2 linked regions of the Yarrowia lipolytica genome follow. The protein of the gene in region 1 interacts with the protein of each later gene in a biochemical or structural test. Links are inferred from orthologs where the notes say so. Each region holds a gene or a part of one and is shown on either strand. Other genes may lie near its edges.

Region 1 (5,950 bases):
TTCCCGGATGGATGATGGTCGGTGATACCGGTGATTCCACAGATGTTGATCAGTCAGTCGACCCACCTCAATGTTTCGATTGGGTTGACTTGTTTTTCGAACCCAAGAGTGCAACAGAGTACGACCCACGGAACTTTTCCAGCCACTTCCAGGAGACTCTCAAGGTGTCGCAGGAGCTTTATACCCCCGGGTCTGTGGTGAATCCCATCACTGAGGGCTACGTCATATCTGGCAAGTCCACCCATGCCTTCTTCAATCCCATAACCGGCGCCATGACTCCTTGGATCCACCAGCCAGCACCTCGTGCGTCGAAGGACAAATCGACTAACACAACTCTGCGCACCATTCCAAACACAGACTGCTTGAATGTGGGCGATCCCAGCTACTGGTGGAATGTCAGAATTTGCTCGAATTACTTCCACCTCGGTGAGGCATCTAGCAACAGAGTCGTTGCTGCTCTTTTCAGCACCAGCTACAAGGCTTCTCTCTCAGGACCCACAGAGATTTGCATCATTCGTTGCTTTCAGCCCTACGTGAAAGAAGCGTCTTACGCTTCACAATTCTACACATTTCTACCTCAGAAAAACGAGAAGTACGCACTGGCACTGGCTGGAAGTCCAACTTCGAATCTCTTTTTGGTGGAGTCATACAAGGAAGATGTTCACTACATTTACCTCCTGACCAGCTCTCTAAATTCCCCCCTGCCTCATTATAAGCTTGTTCTGTCAGTCAGCCATATTTCTCGAACGCAGAAGAATGGCAATTTGAGAGGAAAACAGTGGTGGCATCACCGCATTCTAACTTTTGGAGACAACCTGGTCATATTCAAAGAGGGTAGGCTCGCATCGTGGAGAATAATCTACGATTGCTCTACTGATTCAGTCAAGGCTTACTTGATCCCCGAAAAGTATGGGTTCGTTGCCGACGTACACCCTGTTCAGTTTGGCAAACACCTGGTCTTCTCCAGAGGTGTGCTAGACATGTCTACCTTTCAATTCTGCACGGTACCCGTGGGCCAGAATGATCGAAAGAAGATTGTCTGGCACAAGAGAAACGGCGTTTTGGTTGGGTCCACTGTAAACAGCCTCTCGTTCCAGTGCTTCTACCTCGGAGATCCCTCTGAGGTCTAGCTACCCCGGTCACCTATATTTATTTTGCTTATTCGCCATATCATCTAATCATTACCTCATCCTGTATTGTATCGTAGTTTATATGCCTATCTATTGTATAATTTCGTGCCAATGGAAGCTGGGGATTGCCTAATCAAAAGGCAAAACACCGGAACCACGCAGTTTGCGCAGATCTCCAGGTTTCTGGCTCATCTCAGAGGCTGCAATGGCACTGGGCACCTTGATTCCACAACAGTCAGCCCAATGGTTGTGAATGTGCTGCACTTCAGCATTGGGATCAGGAGGAGGTGACACCCCCTCAGGAGCCTTGATCAGCTGACCGAACATGAAATGCTGGAGAATGGGGAGCTTGCTCAGAACCTCAGCGTCGTACATCTTAACCATACCCTGGTTCACCTTGGCCCAGGTCTTGACTCCGGAGATGTCATCCAGCATGGGGGAATGCCATCTCAGAGAAGCAGTGGTCTTGACACTGTTGATGAAGTGGATGCAACCCATGTACAGATACTCATGCTTCCACATATCCAACATCTCCATGTCGTGGATGGATAACGGCCGCAGGTACTTGTGGCATGCAAGCTGGGCAGATCCAAACATGAAGGGTAGGAAGTGGTAGTCATCGAGACCCCAGACACCATGAGAGCCTGCAGGCTCCAGCCAATAGCTTGCTTGAACAGCACGCATGGTCTTAAGATACTGGACAAACACCGTCAAAACTGCTGCAGAGGAATCAGTCTCATCTTCCACACACTTGGCATTCTTGGCCTCTCCTGTTGGATCGTGCACCTCAGGATTGTACTCTGGCACATCAAGCAGACCCAGCTGCCTCAGACAGAAGAGGAAACAGATAAAGTTGAGCTCGTGGCCAGATCCGAAATCAATTCGCGTTCGGTCACCAAAAGAGGCAGCGAAATATGTACAGAGCTCCACGAGCTGCCAGTCCTCCAACTCTCCCAAATCCGAGATCCAGTCCTTGGCGTTCTCCTCCAGAGCCTGATGGAAATCTCTGAACTCAGGTTTTCCGAACCGTGACGACGTAGCATCTTCAGGCGGATACTTGGCGACAAGATCAATCACCTTGTCGAGAATGGCCACCAATTTGCCAATGATTGGGTGCTTCAGCGTCTCGTATGAGTTGCCCTTGCCCACCACATAGTAGTTGAGCACCTTCACGAACCCAAACACTTGCTTTTTTGTGTCACTGGCGCCAAATATTTCCAGATCTTTGGGCGACAGAATTCGCCGTACCGGGTGTGAGTGTGACATGTTGATAAAATTGTGCGCTGTGTTGAAGTGGTACTGTAGTGCTGTCTAAGTATCGCGATGCCGATTATTCTGTGTGGTTATGCAAGGTAAAAACCTTACTCCAACGCCCCCCAGGACGACCGTTGATATTAAGCTACAGTGCGTGTAAGGTTGGACCCCAACCCCCGTGACACAGCACTTTTCTCCTCCCAACTGACGCATGTGATATATTACTGTACCTATGGCTTGCATCGCATGAAATCTCTACCTCGGATCTCCACCGTCAACGTCTGGTTTTTCGTCGCAACCTCTCTGAGCTATCTCGTTACCGCCGCATTTCTGTTATTTGTCTTCTGCGTCACATTTGTGTCTCTTAAGCTCGCTCTTGCCGCCCTAGCCATCGCCCTAACATCTACTCAAGCACAATCATACGCTCTGAAAATGGCCTCCCAGAAACGACTCATCAAGGAGCTGGCAGCATACAAGAAAGACCCCAATCCTTGCCTAGCATCGCTCACAGCCGACGGCGATAATCTCTACAAATGGACTGCCGTCATGAGAGGAACCGAGGGCACTGCATATGAAAACGGTCTCTGGCAGGTGGAAATCAACATCCCCGAAAACTACCCGCTACAGCCACCGACCATGTTTTTCCGAACGAAAATCTGCCACCCAAACATCCACTTTGAAACCGGAGAGGTGTGCATTGACGTTCTCAAGACGCAGTGGTCCCCAGCATGGACCATCTCTTCTGCATGCACCGCAGTGTCGGCCATGCTATCTCTGCCAGAACCAGATTCGCCTCTTAACATTGACGCAGCCAATCTCGTGCGATGTGGCGACGAAAGCGCCATGGAAGGTCTGGTTCGATATTACGTCAACAAGTATGCATCGGGAAACTAGAGTAGTTGGTACAAAACGTCGTAATAAATCAATAAGTTATATGAGTTAGTGGGAACTGGACTCTAATGTTCCCAGTATGATATAGCGGGGTTCATTCTAGAATATAAGTGAGACACAAAATCGGCGCTCAAAAAAGCGTTCAGTAGGAGTCATCCTCCTCTTCTTCTGGCTCCTGCTTCCGCTGCTGCTGCCGCTTGAAGTCAACCTTCATCTTGACGTCCCAAAACTTTCGGGTAACGTCACTGAGAGGCCGGAAGGGCACCATCTGCTGGAGCATTTCCTGGGGAATGAGGTCCATGTCTGAGTGCGTCTGCTGTCGCAGCACAGACTTGAGCCACAGCGAATTTTCGGCCTTGGGAACCTGTCGCTGGTTTCGGAACTTGTACACCTTGCTGGGGATCTCTCTCTTTCGGTCGTCCAGGCTCAGCAGCAGAGGCTGCATGTGTGAGGCGAGCGCCTTGTGGAGGAAAATCTCGTTCATGGACTCTCCGGTGTGTTCCTTGACGGTGAAGGGGTGTGGCTGGATGCCGAGAATGCGGGTGGGGGACGAAGTGTTGCCACTCTGGTGTCGCGAGAAGTTTGGGGTGAAGTGGCTACGACTGAACATGTAAGGGTTGTTCTCGTATGGAGGAGCTGGTGCCGAGGGGGCAGGCGAAGATGCAGCGGTGGATGTAGTGGATGTGGATGTAGCAGTTGTGGAGGCGGTCTTGGGCTGTGGAGCTTTATTAGCTGCCTCGGGTTTGGCGTCGGCCTTGACCTCGTCTTCTTCGCCCTTCTTCACGGGCTGGGGAGCCACGTTGGAGGCGGGAGATGGTGACTTGGATGACTTGTGTCTTATGATGAGTCGGCAGGGAGCCACACTGAGTCTGGTAGCGGTTGTGGGTCGGTACATGATGGCTGTGGTGGGTGGCTGGATAAAGCCGCAACTCTGGATGTAGGGCGGATAAAAAGGATTGTCACGTGACGAGTTATGCTAGGGGAGTGTCCTGCTGGTTTCCGTGCTTCAAAAGAACCGCGTTTGGACGTCTTTTGATGTAGGGATGTGTGGTTGGTGTAGAAAGTGGAGGTCCGGTTGAGAGGATGAGGCGATTGTAGGTGACCCGAAGTTTAATCAAAGGAACATCCAGTATCGGGAGCAAGAATGTGAAGAATGTTTTGGGGGATGTGGTGTAATTCAAGAGGTGGCGACGATCGGGACATGTTCGGTCGAACGTGGGATCAAGATCGGACCAGCTAAATACCATCGTCATTGCCATATATACCCCGCTGGTGTCATTTCCGCACTCATGCCGAGTCGGCTTATCATGTCATTCACGTGATGCGCACTACATACTATCAAAGTTTGAAGACGTGGACAGGTTCTCACCCAAGAGAAATAGGCTTACGTACAGAGTTGGTGTTTTTTCTCTAAGGCACAGACCTGCACAGACAGACTCACAAACAGTCCAACACATAGTAAATACACTGTCAACAACCTCATACTTGTACAGAGTTGGGTGTCAAGAATAGAGTACAAGTAATAACTAAGGGGTCCTTACTTTTTGCGGGGCGGAAATTTTTGCACGTAAAATTCATTAAATTGATGGGGCGTGATATGAAGAGCTCCTGCTTACAGAGAAAATGAAAATAGTCACCACGCGTGCAGAGAGGTTTCCCACTTGGTATGGTTGCCCCACCAACTGCACGTGACTCGCCACAGTGTGTAATTTTCCGGGTAACTTTTCAAACAAATCTAGCTTTGCAACTAAGACGTGGTTTTCATAAAATTCACAACATCAACCAAATGGAAGACCAAATCGAACAGGCGGTAGATATCGCGATCCAAGGCGTCGGCGACCCGGCCGTGCGACAGCAGGCCCTGGATTTCTGCAACCAGGTCAAGGCGTCTGACGAAGGTTGGCAGATGTGCTTGGCGATGTTTGCTGGAGACCGGAAGCGAAGTGATGCTGCGCGATACTTTAGTCTTCAGGTGATTGATGAGGCTCTGGGTCGGCTCAACCGTGAGCAGCTTGTCTATGTGCGTGATCACCTTTTTGCATACGTGAGAATGGGCAGTGGACTCAGCCAGGGACAGGCCAACGTCAATGTCGGCCAGGCCGTCAGCTTTGCTGATGATCCAGTCCACATGAAGAACAAGCTGGGTGAAACCCTGGCCTATCTGTTCATTATGACCTACACGGAAATTTGGGACACCTTCTTTTACGACTTTGAGCGGCTACTGGAGAGCCCCGAGAACCAGTTTGGCAACCCGCGTGCGGCGGATCTGTACCTACGCGTACTGAACGATATCCACCGAGAGATTGGAGACACGCTGATTATTCGAGATCCTGCGGTTCAGTCGCGCAACAACGACCTCAAGGATCTGATCCGGAACCGAGATATGGCCCGTCTGGCAGACTCCTGGAAAAAGATTCTCATGTACTACAAGGACCAGCAACTGGAGCCCCTGGCCACTGAGATTGTCAACAACGCTCTTCGCGTAATCGGAGGATGGGTTTCTTGGGCCGAGCTGACCCTCATTGCAGAGCCCGAGGCGCTGGAGGCTATTTTCAACCTGCTGAGCTCTCCAAAGTCCCGAATTCACGCCTGCGACTGTCTCAGTGAGATTGTCGCCAAGAAAATGTACCCTAACGCGAAGTTTCAGCTCATCCAGTCGCTCAACCTCACCAGCA
Region 2 (6,941 bases), on another chromosome or scaffold:
CCATGTGGTGTCAAAGAAAGTGGTACCAATATTATTCCGCGACCATGACGGTTATAATGGTACTACTATTAATTCTCTGGCATCGCACCAATGGCAGGATCAAGATAGAGTCCTTGTGTTTACGATACTACATCGGAAGGGGGTGAAAACCCCTGTATTCCGGCAAGTCCAACTGTCGACTGGTGTTACTTCTGATCCAGATGTCACCTTGTGTTTCTGCCAGCCATATAGATTAACAGAAGACCACTGGGTCTGAGGAGAACCGGGGGGTTTGGTGAGTGCAATGTCAACTATACCCTAGCATTTAGTGAGTTTATTAGTTGAAGCCGAGTAATGGTTTTGAATCCAGTTAACACTGAGCATTACGTAATCTTCAGTATGAGAGCTCCAATTACGAAAATAACGAAACTTTTGTACTGCAATTATGGCACGAAGAACACGAATATATGCTTAGTTTTTCTCTCAGAGTCGCCAAAGAGGAGTTGCGGCGAAGTCAAGCTGCAGAATCACACCTGAAAACAGGTTTCTGGTTTCAAACCAAGTCCCAGTATTGCACCCAGCTCAATTCCAACACTAAAGAATCCAGATCAACGTCCACAATAAGACCAACTCGGATCCAGATTTTTACCATCTTACTAATCCGGCTTTTCTTAACAAAATGCACTTTTTTGATTTCTTCTCTGACATCTCGTTCGAGAGATGGTCCTAGGTAATTAGAGACTACGTAATTAGCTGCGTGAGACTAAGTGATACCAAGTAATTTACTACACGAGACTAAGTAATTTCCTTAAATGATCCAAGTAATTAGTTGAAATGTGACCAACATCCACAGTGATCTTCACAGTGTGCGCTACAGAAATCGACACTTGTCTCCAACAGTAATTACTTTTAATGCCCGACCTCGAAGATACATGAACCTGAAACAACACATGACCCGACAATAGACTCCGCCCTGGCGCTCACTTTCAGTTGCTTCGAAAAGACATGCCCAACCAGACTGAGCCAAACCAAACTGAGCCAAACCAAACTGAGCCAAACCAAACATCGAGAGCCCGCCATGACTCCCGAAAAATACACCGGCAGCCGATATCGTAGAGTCACGTGACCGACACAAACGCCCCGACAGTGCCTGACTGGCTTGGTGGTCCGACGACACTCGTCTTCTTCTCCGCTTCTGTACTGCCCCCTTTGCTCATGTCGCTGTGCGCCGATCTGCTTGGCCTGCATATTTCGAGGTGGGCGCGCGGTTAACTAAAATTACGACCCGAAGTGGGGCGTTATAAAGGGGGTTAAATGGGGAGTTTTCTGGAGAAAAATCCAATCAAATTACCCTCCCAGCTTCCAGCTTCTCCCTGATATGTCCATATTGTCAATACGACCCTTGTAGCTGTCGTTATCACAGCCGTTAGTGCCTTCAGATTAAGTGCCCCTCCAAACTCTATGCAGCTCGGTGCAGGTGGTACCTGAAATATGCCGTTAGTAACTATTAGTGAGGCTTCGGGAGTGGTTGTCTCGGTTGTCTCATTCAGACTCGTTGTGTTGTATCTATATCTATATAAACACTCTTGTCCCTCAATCCCACTGCCATCTTTTGCTAAACTTGCCGCCAATATGAAACTCATCTCCCTCATCACCGTCGCTACCACCGCTCTGGCGGCTGTCGGAGACAAGTACAAGCTGACCTATACCAGATCAGACGCCCAATCGGTCGAATCTCTGCCCGTCACCTACCAAGATGACCTGATCACCGCCTCCACCGACGGCGAACCCATCACCATCACCGAGGGCGAGGGCAACACCTTCTCTGTTAACGACATGCCCATCGCCTATCTGGAGCTGCAGGCTTTGTTCTGGACCGGCGACTACGGCTACAAGCTCCAGGGCTCGGTCTTTGACATTGCCGCCGATGGAACCTTTGAGCTGAGAGACGGCCCCAAGGAGTACTACTATTGCACTCCTCACCCTGAGCGAAACGTCATCTACGTCATCAACAGCCCCGACTACTCCAAGTGTCGGTTCAAGCGTACCATCAAGTTCCACGCTGAAAAGATCTAAGTGGTAATCGACCGACTAACCATTTTTAGCTGACAAACACTTGCTAACTCCTATAACGAATGAATGACTAACTTGGCATATTGTTACCAAGTATTACTTGGGATATAGTTGAGTGTAACCATTGCTAAGAATCCAAACTGGAGCTTCTAAAGGTCTGGGAGTCGCCGTATGTGTTCATATCGAAATCAAAGAAATCATAATCGCAACAGAATTCAAAATCAAGCAGATTAATATCCATTATTGTACTCGGATCGTGACATATCTGATATGATCTCGGATATGATCTCTGACTGTTTACTGGGAGATTTGTTGAAGATTTGTTGAGGTTATCTGAAAAGTAGACAATAGAGACAAAATGACGATATCAAGAACTGAATCGGGCCGAAATACTCGGTATCATTCCCTTCAGCAGTAACTGTATTGCTCTATCAATGCGACGAGATACCTCCACAATTAATACTGTATACGCTCTACCACTCATATCTCCAATGCTAAAATATATTCATGCCCAGGACCTCTGTGCACTGCTATGCAGCACAGTGTTGTCGATTGAATTGGTCGTGTCTGGTCCCTGATGCTCTGTGTCTCGCTGACTAGTCCTTCCATCCAGACCTCGTCATTATCTGATAGGCAACAAGTTCTGCTCTCTCACACCCTGCCGACACAAGGGACACTCGGGCTTCTCTCTCACCCATTCGGAAATACAGTCCCAACAGAAAAAGTGTCCACATGGCGTACATGCCGGCGCACTAATGTATGACAGACACAGAGTGCACGCTCTGGACGCCTCAGGAATGAACTTGAGCTGTCGAGGGTCCTCCAGATCGATCTTGTCTTCCGTCTCCCCTTCTGTATCCTCAATGAACGGAATTGACGACTTCTTTTTCGGCACAACCGCTTCCTTTTCATCTTCCTTCTCCCCTGCCTCTTTCTCCACGCTCTTTTCCAGCAGCGCTCCGAGGTACTCTCTTCCCGTCTGCACAAATGACGTGGCAAACCGGGCGAAAATCAGCAGACCGAGCATCTCGTAACCGATTCGAGGCTCATTCTTGTCCAGTCGGTGTCCAAATACATAACGCATGCCCCAGATCCGCTTACTGAGCTGGTAGTACGAGCCGTAGACGTAGAAAATCGCCAAGTGGATCGCGGTAAACCCCTCCAGCGCCGTGAACTTGTCAAACTTGTTCACAAACGTCTTGATGACCCGCTCCTTCCATGTTTCCGGGCTGGGCACAGGCTCATCTTCGTCGTACTCCACCAGATGGGGATACTCGCGCATCAGTTTGGCGCGCAACTTGCCCATGTAGCGCACAAACAGGTATGGAAACAGAGTGTTGGAAAGCACGTAGCCAAACCGTCTCACCACCCCCGGTAGAGCTGTTCGGTCTCTGATAGTGTACATGAGATTGGTGTACTCTTCTCCGAGAGTCTTGGAGCCCACAAGCGTACACAAACCGAGATATGCAAACTTGGACGCCGTCTCCAGCTCCTCCTTGTACTGGTGGATAAATCGTACTCCCTTCCATTTCTGCAGAAACGTGACGAGATGCTGTTCAAGCACGGACTCAAAGTAGTGGTCTTTCTGGTTGGCTCGGATGATTTCTGCGGCCCCAGCGTAAGGCAGGCGTTCCGTCCGGATCGGTTTGGGTCGGATCGGCTTTTTGATTGTCGTATTGTCGCTCATGTTGGACCTGGTGTGTAGTTGTAGTGTCAGATCAGATTCACCAGCGAATGCATGTGAACTTCCCCACATTTTGAGCCGAGGCAGATTTGGGTTGCTTAGTAAGCAGACGTGGCGTTGCAAGTAGATGTGGCAAATGGGGACGAAGATTCCGAGGGGATATCATAGTTCCAAGGGGATGTCATCATTTGCCAGCTTTCGCCGCCACTTTTGACGAGTTTTTGTGGGTCAAATAAGTTTAGTTGAACTTTTCAAATTTCAGTTGGCATTTTGTTAATAGAAAGGGTGCCGGTGCTGGGGGGTTCATTCCTCGGGTTGCAGATATCCTATCTGTCTTAGGGGTATCTCTTTCAATCGACAAGATGTAGTTGGGTAACAATTATTTATTAATATTCTCTCCATCCAGTACAGTACTAACATCTTGACATCTCAGCACAAGTGCATCTTCCCAAGTGTTTGTTGGAGAGGTTGTTGGGTATTACTTAGGAAACAGAACACAGTACGTGGAGATCTTGGATACATCGTACATGGAGGTTATCCATAAAAAAGACCCTCCAGGACTAGTTACAATGCCGTTAGATGAGGAAATCCACAACCCTGATTCACTATGAACATATTATCTTCCCCCAAACTTGCGATATATGGCCCTTGATGATAGCCTTGATTTTACCCTTGATGGTACCTCCACGACCAACCGATCTGCTGTTTGAAGAGATATTTTCAAATTTGAAGTGCTCAGATCTACTAAACATGAGTCCAGTAATTCTTTCCGTCTTTCCGATTTCCGATATTCCCTTTTTTAGCCCGACTTTTCACTGCTCCCATGTCAAACGATTAGGACTTGGGAGACAATCCCACTGTCAAAATCACCCCGATATTCTCTGTAAAACAAGTACTTCTTCCACGTGATCTTCAAATACCTCTTCCACGTGACCTTCAAATACCTCTTCAAGTACCTCTTCCACGCGACCTTCAAAGTCCCTTCAAATACCCTTCTCAATTCTCCCCTTCTCCTCCATAGTCCTTCTCTCTGACTAAGCTTGAGAATACATGACGCTAAGACGAAAACACACTAGAGACCCTGAGAGCCTGAACATGCATCCACTCTGCAGTTGCGCACGTGCCTACAGCAACTATCGGGTCCAGTGCTGGATCTGACACTGCGTCTCCCTATGAAGAAACTGATAAACAGATCTGCACTCATAACAATGATCTGAGCGATGAAAACGTGACCTCCACAGCCACAAGTCATAATCTGAGAAATACCAATCCCGGAAATACCTCAAGTTTGGCCCAATATCAGCTTCAAAACACTTTGCTCGCCAAATTTCACACCCCCTCGATTGATTCACAATATCTATAATTAGCAGACAGCAGACAGCTGAAATTATGGAGCTTATTAATGACAAAAGCAAGGACAGACTGACGTCGCCACAGCGGACGGAGATGAGGGTTCACGTGACCAGAAACGAAGGACGTGTTGCGTCTCTCGATCAGGGGTCACGTGAACATCCGATTTATCACGTGGCAACCCCTATTTTGCCCTATTTTGCCCTATTTTGCCCCTCGAACCCTCGACCTTCTCCTGACTAAGCATCCACCCCCACTATCCTCTACCACCCCTTAAACTTCGCATTCATGCATGCACTCTCCGTATCAACATCATCAACCATCTCTCCCTCTCTCTCTCTCTCTCTGAACACTTGACACTTGAACACAACAACCCACATGTCAGCTATACGCCGCAAACCCGTGGGAGACCCGCTCACGACGACGCGACGACACTCGCGGGTCAAGTCGGGAATCTCCAGGGTAACCGAAAAGTCACTGTTCGACCAGGTGCTCAAGGTGTGTGTCTTGTCATACCGATGCGAACCGCGATTCCGAGGGGGAGGCAAACGGCAGTCGCGTGACTTGGCGTCTCTGGGGGTGTCGGATCCCACTCCGTCGTTCGGCGACCAAAAGTTGCCCAAGGAGGCCCCCAAGCTGCTGCAGCAGAAGCTTAACAAGCTGGCTCTTAACCAGGGTTCTAGCGACATCACTGACCCGCTGGTTCGGCGGTGTTTCCTCGCATTTTACGCTCTACTTTTGGATCCAGACTTTTCCCGTCGAATCAAAGAAAACAGACGGGCTGAAGACGTGGTCATGTTCTTCATTTCCTCGTCCACGAAGGAGTTGGCCAAAAGCGGCTCACAGCCAGCAGAAACTAAACGACTGGTCAATTACTTCACCGCCACCTTTGTCAAATTTCTGATTGCCACCCTGCGAGAAGCAGGATTCGAATCGTCCTGTGCTTCTCTTATTCGACAACTACAGAGCTACGAATCAAAGCTGGTTAATGATACGGGCAACCTGGGAGAGTCAAACGGAAGCGCATCTTACTCGGCGGGACTGACACCAACGTTTGACGTGGCAGATATTCATCTGGCCAAATCGCTGGGTCCGTACTTTCTCATGAGTGACAGTCTTATTCAGAAAGGTGTCTCTGAAATCAAAGATACAGCCACTGAGCAGGCAGCAGAGGCAGATCTTCGACTAGCACTGGACCAACTCAAACAAGACAGATTCCCATATTACCAAAGACAGTATTTTGGTTCTGACGACGCGTATCAGGATTACAAGAATCGAGCTATAGAAGCTGTTCAGACACAGCTGGCAGGGTATGGAGCCCAGTCGTCAACCCAGAGCACCACTTACTACTACATTCCCGAAGATCCGCGTGCCTACGGGCGATTACTGGTCAAAATCTGTCTTTCCCACGACCTCAAGTCCAAAAGTGATACTCTACTGAGCAAAAACTCGATCGCCATTCTCACGGAATGCTTTAATCTGTGGCAAATTCCATCCAGTACACGAGCCGCGCTTGTTATGGACGTTTGTCAAGAACTGCTCAAGTTGAAGGAGCTTCCCATCTCCCTCATCGAGGACTCGGTGTCTTTCATTTCACACGTAGGCCGGGAGAACGGCAAACGAGAGTGGGACACGTCTCTGTGGCCGGTCTGCGACAGAGAAGTGTACGTGTTGGGGCTCAAGGAGGTGCTTGTGTTCGTCATTGACCTCATTTCAGGCTGCATTAAGTCAATCTACGAACAGAAACCACCCTCCATTGGTCCCTATCTGCAGATTCTCGGCGAGTGTGTCTTTTGCTCGTCCGAATGGGACAGGGTCGAGATGATAGTCGATATGCCCAAGGTATTCGACAATC

What was found.
Region 2: the proteins of YALI1_E05599g (region 1) and YALI1_C01416g form a complex in vitro, tested with the Saccharomyces cerevisiae proteins (2 studies listed by BioGRID). The link is inferred for Yarrowia lipolytica from reciprocal best matches to the Saccharomyces cerevisiae genes PEX4 and PEX10.

The regions. Positions count from the first base shown.
Region 1 is NC_090774.1:556,646-562,595, reverse strand, and holds YALI1_E05599g (uncharacterized protein), read left to right. Parts: upstream 1-2,630; coding exon 2,631-3,278; downstream 3,279-5,950. Other genes in the region: YALI1_E05630g (uncharacterized protein), read left to right, coding at 1-1,130; YALI1_E05602g (uncharacterized protein), read right to left, coding at 1,260-2,396; YALI1_E05584g (uncharacterized protein), read right to left, coding at 3,418-4,170; YALI1_E05576g (uncharacterized protein), read left to right, coding at 4,942-5,950. UniProt on the Saccharomyces cerevisiae protein: Catalyzes the covalent attachment of ubiquitin to other proteins. Essential for peroxisome biogenesis. Required for UBC4-independent ubiquitination of PEX5.
Region 2 is NC_090772.1:137,871-144,811, forward strand, and holds YALI1_C01416g (uncharacterized protein), read right to left. Parts: upstream 3,809-6,941; coding exon 2,675-3,808; downstream 1-2,674. Other genes in the region: YALI1_C01393g (uncharacterized protein), read left to right, coding at 1,471-2,055; YALI1_C01433g (uncharacterized protein), read left to right, coding at 5,465-6,941. UniProt on the Saccharomyces cerevisiae protein: E3 ubiquitin-protein ligase component of a retrotranslocation channel required for peroxisome organization by mediating export of the PEX5 receptor from peroxisomes to the cytosol, thereby promoting PEX5 recycling.